Linked DNA regions of Notamacropus eugenii. The protein of the gene in region 2 purifies or fractionates together with the protein of the main gene of each other region. This does not show direct contact. Links are inferred from orthologs where the notes say so. Each region holds a gene or a part of one and is shown on either strand. Other genes may lie near its edges.

Region 1 (3,909 bases), on a different chromosome or scaffold from region 2:
GTCAGATCAGCTCCAACGTAGCCAGTCGTCATTTCTGCCAAGTGAAGGAGATCCACATTACTGGAGACAGGCATCTTGGAAGTTATCACTTGGAGAATATCTTTCCTTTGCTTCAGGGTGGGCGTCCCAATGATGATCTGAAACAAAACAAACACCCAAAGTGAAGTGGACATAAGGTTTTTGAATTTATAGCTTTTCTATTTTCCTCACTTTTTTCTGGCAGTTCAAGTCAAAAGGCATTTTAGCACCCACTACAAAGAATGTGAAAAATTGGACAGTTCTAATCCCACCAGAAGATCATTAGATGAAAATTTTGCAAATGAACTTGTGTCAGGCATTCTACGTAGCAGGGCGGCCAATTGGCGAAGTGGATAGAGTGCTGGACTTGTAGTCAAGAATACTCGTCTTCCTGCGTTCAAATCTGGCCTCACACACTTACTAGCTGTGTGACCCTGCACAGATCACTTGACTGTTTTGCCTCAGTTTCCCCACCTGTAAAATGAAGGCACGGCAAGTCACTCCAGTATCTTTGCCAAAAAAATCCCAAATGGGGTCACAAAAGAGTTGGACACTACTGAAAGTGACTGAACAATAAGTTCTAGGTAGTATGGTTGTAGAAACCTAACTCAGACTCTTTGCTGTGGTTCAGTTAAACATTCTTTAAAAGTCCTTTACAACTTTAACAAAAAAATTCAATTTAGTACTAATGATAAATACAAGTAGTTTTTTTCTTAAAATAACTTTCTGTTGCTATTTTTGTTGCTTACATTTCTGTCCTTACTGGCTCAGGGCGCCATCTCCTATAATAAAGAATTTGGTAGCAACAGTTCTAAAAGTTTCCCCACAGGGCAGCAAACCAAAAGTTGTCTAAGTTACCTAATTCAGTTTTATAAATCCCTCCCTTTTTGAGAAAACAGCGCTACGCAATCCTTGCTTAAAATGAACTGTCCCATTTAATTTCTCAGTACTCAGTCTTTAAGACTAAATTAGAGAGAAGCTGCAGATGAAACAGCCAAGGGTAGAATTCTTTTGTACCAGTCCTTGGTAACTGGATTGAAACGGGCAAATACAGTGCATCCCAACGGCCAGGAAGGCTCTTCCTTATAGAAGGCCTAAAAGACTGAGTTAGAAGGGTGGCTTTGTCGTCAGAAGACCAGGGTTCCCAGTGGGCCTCAGACACTCACGCACGACTTGATCCTCCAGCCAATCACTTAAGCTTCCGATGTTCCATCTGAACCTCTGGAGCTGTTCACAGCAGAACTGGGCCTGCAGGGTGATGATGAGGACCAGCACTCCGCGGTCTGCAGAGGAGCTTACCGGATCTCACGGGAGCCCCCCGCAGCCTGAGGAGGTGGGGGCTATGGCTCCCACTTTACAGATCAAGAACCTGGGGCTGAGGGCTGGGGCCCGCCAGGGTCAGCCAGGTAGGCGGCAGGGCAGCTCGGACACTTGGAGCCCTATGACCTTTCATCTGCCAAGCGCAGCCCCGACCTCCCGGAACCGTGAGGACCCAGGGGGCAGACGATGTAAAGTGCCCGCACAGCCTGGCGGATGGTAAGCGCTACGGACGTGACTTCCCGGGGCCCCGGCCCCCACGCCCTCACCTCGCGGTCCAGGCGGCCAGGCCTGCGCAGCGCCGGGTCCAGGGCGTCGGGCCGGTTGGTGGCGGCCACCAGGGGCACGCGCCGCTCGCTGCCCACGCCGTCCAGCAGGGTGAGCACCTGGGCCACGGCTCTGGCCTCGGGCGCCCCGCGCGGGCCGCCCCGCCGCGGGCACAGCGCGTCCAGCTCGTCGATGAAGAGGACGGCGGGCCCTCGCCCGGCCAGCTCCCGGGCCCGCGCGAACACCCGGCGGACGTTGTCCTCGGTCTCGCCGGGCCGCGAGCCCTGCAGCTCCGCGCCGCTCACGGCCAGCAGCCGGGCCCGCGCCTCCCGGGCCACGGCTCTCACCAGCTGCGTCTTGCCCACGCCGGGCGGCCCGACGAGCAGCAGCCCGCGGGGCGCGGACCCGCCGAGCGCCGCCAGGGAGCGGGCCTGCAGGGGCGGCGGGCGCAGCAGCTCCCGCAGCGCCGCGGCCGCCTCGGCCAGCCCGCCCAGCGTGGCCTCCGCCGGAGGCTCCGGGGCCGGGGGCGCCGACGGCTCGCCCAGCTCGACGCGGGTGCGCGGCGTGACCAGCGCGGCGGGCTCCGGGCGGGGGTCGCCCCCGAGCACGTGCAGGGCGGCCAGCGGGCCGGCGGAGCCCGGGGGCGCCGTCAGCACCGAGCGCGCCCCGACCGGCCTGTTCCGCAGCAGCTCCTGCGCCGCCTCCAGCACCGAGGTCGGGCTCGAGAGCTCGGCCGGGGCCGGCGGCTCCCGCAGCACGGGCCACACGGTGACGCTGCGCAGAGGCGGGCAGGGCACGGCGCGCAGGCTGCTCAGGCGGATGCTCCGGCCTGGCCCCCACGGCCCCGCGGCCGCGCCGGGGCTGGCGCACCCCGGGTCGAGCTGCACGAAGCCGTCGGACAAGTCGCGCCGGGGCCAAGCGGTGCACAGGCAGGAGCCGCCATCCGGCAGGGCCACCAGGAGGGCGGCGCCCAAGCGGACCTTCAGGGCGCGGAGGGCGGAAGGGCCCAGGCGGCAGCGCTGCGTCCCGCGGTCCCCGGAGTCCAGGGGTAGCAGCTTCAGAAGCGGATCCGTCTGGGGGACCCCCGAGTCCGGAGCCATCGCGCCGGGCTCGGCGGCATCAGCGGCTGACCCGCACGCCGTAGAATTCCCTCGGCGGGCCAATCGCGTCCCAGCGCGATGACGTAGTCTTTCCTTCCCTCACCCTGGTCCCCGCGAGAGGGCCGGAAAACGATGGTGCGCACGCGCCAAGCAATTGTCGCGGACTCTGACTCGAGAGCCTGTGATCGAAGGAATGAAAGTGTGTGGTAGGGTAGTATTTACATACGGCTTCTGATTGGTTCCCTCACACTCGGCTTCTCCCGGGATGGAATCTGTGACTCCGCCAGTTACCCGCTAGGTGGAGCTCTCAGGTAACGAGCCTTGCACCTGCAGTCCGGAAGCTCCGAGTTCAAATGCAACCTTGCACCCTGATAGTCATGTGACCCCGAGCAAGGCCCTTAACCTCGCCGCCTTATTTACCTCATCTTTAAAATAATAGCGCCCCCTGCCGGGGTGGTGCGGCTCCGGTGGGACGGGGCTGTCTCGGCAGCCCTTTGAGTGCCGTGGGAAGCTGCCTGACGCGCTCCTGCGCCTGCTGCCCCCTGCCGGAGTCGTCGTGCAACACCTCCACTCTCCATTTTACAGATGGGGAAACTGAGGCCCAGGAGGGAAAGTCCCTCCCGCCCACGTGGCAGAGACGAGTCCGAACCCTCTTCCTCGACTCCAGCGCCCCGAGCTTCCTCCGTGGGAAGCCAGAGGCCTTCAGCGGCGCTCTCTGCGGCTCCGCACCCGCGTCATGGGACCCCCCGGGGAGAGCTGACCCCAGCTGACCCCAGGGTGCCAGGCGGCAAAGGAAGGAAGGGGGAGACAGACAGACAGACAGACCGTGTGCTCCCTTCCCTGGCTTCGCACCCCGAGGCCTCCTCACCCAGCCGGAGGATCGCCCTTGTCTGCCGAGGGGGCGTCTCCGTCCGTCCGAAAGGGTTAGGGTGAGTGAGCTCAGGAAAGCCGCCTCCCTTTACCCCTCCCCCCCTCTGCCCCTCCCTCCTAGGAGACCGCGTGGACGGAGCTGAAAGTCCGGGTGCAGAAGGGGTTCCGAACCTCCCTTGTTGTCCTGGGCCTCCGACCGTTGGGGAAAAGCTCGGGAAAAGATCGTGCAGTGACTCAAGGAAACGCTAAGTTGCACGTAGTTTAGTGAAAATGAAACTTTGGATATATGTCATTTTATTAAAATGCTAGTTTCCAAATTTTATAATTATTAAAATCT
Region 2 (3,909 bases):
TCCTCCCTCCTTCCCTCCTTTCTTCCTTCCTTTTTTCCTTCTTTCCTTTCCTTTCCTTTCCTTTCCTTTCCTTTCCTTTCCTTTCCTTTCCTTTCCTTTCCTTTCCTTTCCTTTCCTTTCCTTTCCTTTCCTTTCCTTTCCTTTCCTTTCCATTTTGTTCAGTGGTTTCACTTGTGTCTGACTCTCTGTGACCCCATTTGGGGTTTTCTTGGCAAAGATACTGGAGTGGTTTGCCATTTCCTTCTCCAGCTCATTTTTACAGATGAGGAAACTGGGGCCAGCAGAATTAAGTGACTTGCTAATAAATGTCTGAGAACAGATCTGCAGTCAGGAGGATAAGTCTTCCTGACTTCAGACTCAGAACTCTATTTATTCATGGTACCACCTAGTTTTTTTTTACACAGATGAGAAAACTGAAGCCTAGTTATGTGATTCACACAACGTCACACAGATAGTAAGTAGTAGAAGCAGAATTTGAATTCAGATCTCTGATTCTAAATCTAATGACTTCACCACTAGACCACAACAGAGGAAGGACTTCAGAGGTTACAGCACAAAGTAAGGGCAGAGGAAAACAGTGACTGAGGAAGCATTAGGGTTGAGTTTACTATGAGGCACAGTCTATAGCCATTGGTACAGTCAGTAGCAACTACTTTGTGGCTGATCCCCTACTGATCTCCAGGCCACAGGTTAGGTAGCTAATTGGAGATCCAGAGTTTGGATGAGGAGGTGCCCCCCAGAAGGGCACAAAGGGCATAATGAACCCCATGGGGACAGGTGGACTCCTTGAGGCCAAGGGAGGAAGCGAACTGGTTGGATAGCTAGAACTGGAAACCTTTCTAGAGTAGATGGAGAAATCACCCTCTCTCCATAACTCCTCTAACTCTCTACTTCCCCATGTCAGCATTAGGGGTACAGCCCAATTGCCCCATACTGGTTGTAGATTTGGCTCTTATTGTTAAGGATTATTCCACGTATTTTCAAAAACTTTTTTCACGCCTTTGGCTTTCTTTCTGAAGTCCACAAATGTAGCTAAGAAATTCCTGATCAGGCCAAATTAGGCCAGGGAGAATTCACTGTAGCCAGAATAAACAGCTAACCTCTGTTTCATTCATAAATGTTGTAGCAAAAATGAGAAAGTGGGTCAAGGGAAAGGCACAGATGAGAGAATGTAAGATGACAATCGCCTTTTCAATCATTCCAATGACCTTAAAGAGAGATCCTCAAATTCCTCACTCAGGTCTGGTAAACAGACTGTGGAGGAACAATTCAAATGTGGAAGGACAGGAGATTGGGCCCCCCCAAGGTGCACCTGTCTAATATGCACAGACATTTCCACTGAGAAGGCAGAAAATGTCCAAGGACCAGCTCATCTGTCTGCCTGCCTTGGATCTTGTGAAAGTTGATGGGTGTGTGAAACGGGAGGCTTGACAAAAGAGGCTGTATGTAATAAGGAGAAACCTCAGGCCTGAGTGTCTGAGGAAGCGGGAGTGACCATGAAAAGGAGTCCTCTGGAGTATCTCTTCCTTCCCAGATTTTACCTCCAGTTAAAGTACTACCAGATAGCTCAGCTGTCTTTCAGTGGAGAAACAAAATACTTTCTGTATAGAAATGAATGAATTTTGCAGATGAGGAAACTGAGGCCTAGAGACACTGATGTACCTGACTAGTTAGGGGTGGAGATGGGAGTAGATCCAGTTTCTCCTCTGTCCTCATGCCAAGTTCTTTCTACAATGCACCAGGTTACATGGCTCCTCAAATATTTGCTTCTTAGCTGCTTTTCCCTATGGTCCATTTTTCCTTTATCTTCAGACTTTGACTCACAACAGGGTATCCCAGATCTCTGAGGAGCTAGCTATCCCCGGTCTTTACCAGCTTTCTCCTGATTAATGTTGACTCTGTGGATGCCGAGTTGTGATGACAGCCGGGCTTGCCCTGGAAAATCTTGCTCTGTATTGTGTGTGAGGAGGAAAGACTACATGTGTTCCAGGCCTCCTGGAATCCGGGCTCCCCTAAGGGACCCTCCTACAAGTCCTTTGCACTGAGTAACCTCAGTTCCTTTAATAGAGTAAGCAGGCCAGATGTTCGGAAAAGCTGAACTCTGGTTGGCTGCTTTCTATAAGGGCGCAGCTGATTCTTTCCTGAACCATTCCCGTCTCCTTCCGCTTGGATTCTACTTCTATTTTCCTGGGTGTGTAGCCTATACCGCACCACCCTTTCTACCTTTCTCATTACCCAGAACAGCTAACAGCGCTTTAGTTAAGTGTCAGCTAACAGCGAGGGCTAGTACTAACTCTAATATGGATGGATGATTCACTTCGTTTCAGTTCAATCCAACAACTATTTAATAACTACCTACTGTATACAGAGTCCTGGATTAGGTATAGGGGGGGCAATACCAACTTGAGATACAAACTGGCATACAGACTGACCTCCTGGCATTGACTCTTTAATTCAGGCTTTGCTGAGGGAGGGAGGGACTCCAGTCCCCTCTCCCTGCTCGGATCGCTTCCCCATCCCACCCCAGAACAGCTTGCCAGTACACTGCCTACCGTGGGTCTCTTCCAGACGACGCCTTGAGTTTTGCTCGAGTGCGGTCCCAGTTCCTTGAACCCCAGGGAAGATATAATCGCCGGGAAGGAAGGATCCTGAAAGAGTTTACCCTCCTCCAGGCATTCGTTGAGAAGTGTCTCGTAGTCCTGGTTGAGGTATTTGACCGCGAGGTCGTGAGTGCCCAGGCCGGCCGCCGCCTCTCGGTCTCTCACCACTTTGGCTGCGATGCCCGACATGGCTCCGGTCCTGGGTTGCTGCCACGGCCTAGGAAATGCGGCTCAGAAGGCGCTGGGGCTGCCCAGGAGCAGAGGGAGGCTGCAGGCGCGAGGAGCAGGGGCACGCCAGGGGGTTGGAGCTGGTGCTGCTATCCTGTTTGCGGATGGGGGTGATTCACCGGAGAGGGAAGGGCACCACCAGCTCACCCGCCGCAGAAGGCTGGGTGTGGCTTTGTCTCCTAACTCTGCGCCGCTTTGCAGCGGGACTCCGGGCCCAAAGACTTCAGGGGAGGAGCCAAGCCCCGTGGAAGGACAGCTCCACTGGATGTGCTGCCCTCTGCGGGCAGTCTGGGCACACGCGCCCGCACAGGGCACCTCTTCTCCCCCAGATCCTGCTCCCCATCCCCTGGGAAGTTGCTGCCTTCCCTTCCACCTCTCCCAAGGAGGCTAGGCACTTAGGGGGCCCACTTATCTCCACGGAGTATGGAGAAGATGACGCAGTAGTTAGAGCTCTGGATCAGGAGAAAAGAAGACCAAGTTCACATTCCGTTGGCTTTGTGATCTGGGGCAAAGTACTTAATTGCTTTCGGTCTCAGTTCTTGTTCATCCTCAGTTCTCAATAATACTAACCTTTACCTCACGGGGATATTGTGAGGGTAAATTGGGATAATATTTGTAAAGCGTTTTGCACACCTTAAAATGTTACTATGTAAATGCGTGCTACTATTATTATTATTGTTAAGATAATATGTATCTCAGGCAGGGGTTCTTCAATTGTGATCCATGAACTTGAATGTGTGTGTATACACATACATAAATACATGCATAAATTTTAAAATGAATATGATATATAAATATATATGATAAATGTATGCATATATCAACATAATTGGTTTTCTTTGTAATTCTATGTATTTTATTTTGTGCATTGAACAACTTTGTTCTGAGAAAAGAGTCCAAAGGATGATGCTGGAACTAGCTCCAACTGGCTCCTGTTAAATTTTCAGTATAAGCATTTAGACTTCAGAAATGGGAAAGTCTACTAATCATGGCTTGATTGACTGGTTTCTAAGCTTAAGAAAGTGATGGAGAAAATATTAATGCAGATTAAAATTATGTTTACTCCCCCCCCCCCCAGTCT

The links.
Region 1: the proteins of CAPN2 (region 2) and AFG2B purify together in Homo sapiens (co-immunoprecipitation; 3 studies listed by BioGRID and IntAct, with this or other methods). This does not show direct contact. The link is inferred for Notamacropus eugenii from reciprocal best matches to the Homo sapiens genes CAPN2 and AFG2B.

What each region holds. Positions count from the first base shown.
Region 1 is NC_092878.1:52,183,655-52,187,563, forward strand, and holds the start of AFG2B (ATPase family gene 2 protein homolog B), read right to left. Parts: upstream 2,703-3,909; coding exon 1,605-2,702; intron 138-1,604; coding exon 1-137. UniProt on the Homo sapiens protein: ATP-dependent chaperone part of the 55LCC heterohexameric ATPase complex which is chromatin-associated and promotes replisome proteostasis to maintain replication fork progression and genome stability.
Region 2 is NC_092873.1:412,734,979-412,738,887, forward strand, and holds the start of CAPN2 (calpain-2 catalytic subunit), read right to left. Parts: upstream 2,831-3,909; 5' UTR 2,790-2,830; coding exon 2,553-2,789; intron 1-2,552. UniProt on the Homo sapiens protein: Calcium-regulated non-lysosomal thiol-protease which catalyzes limited proteolysis of substrates involved in cytoskeletal remodeling and signal transduction. Proteolytically cleaves MYOC at 'Arg-226'.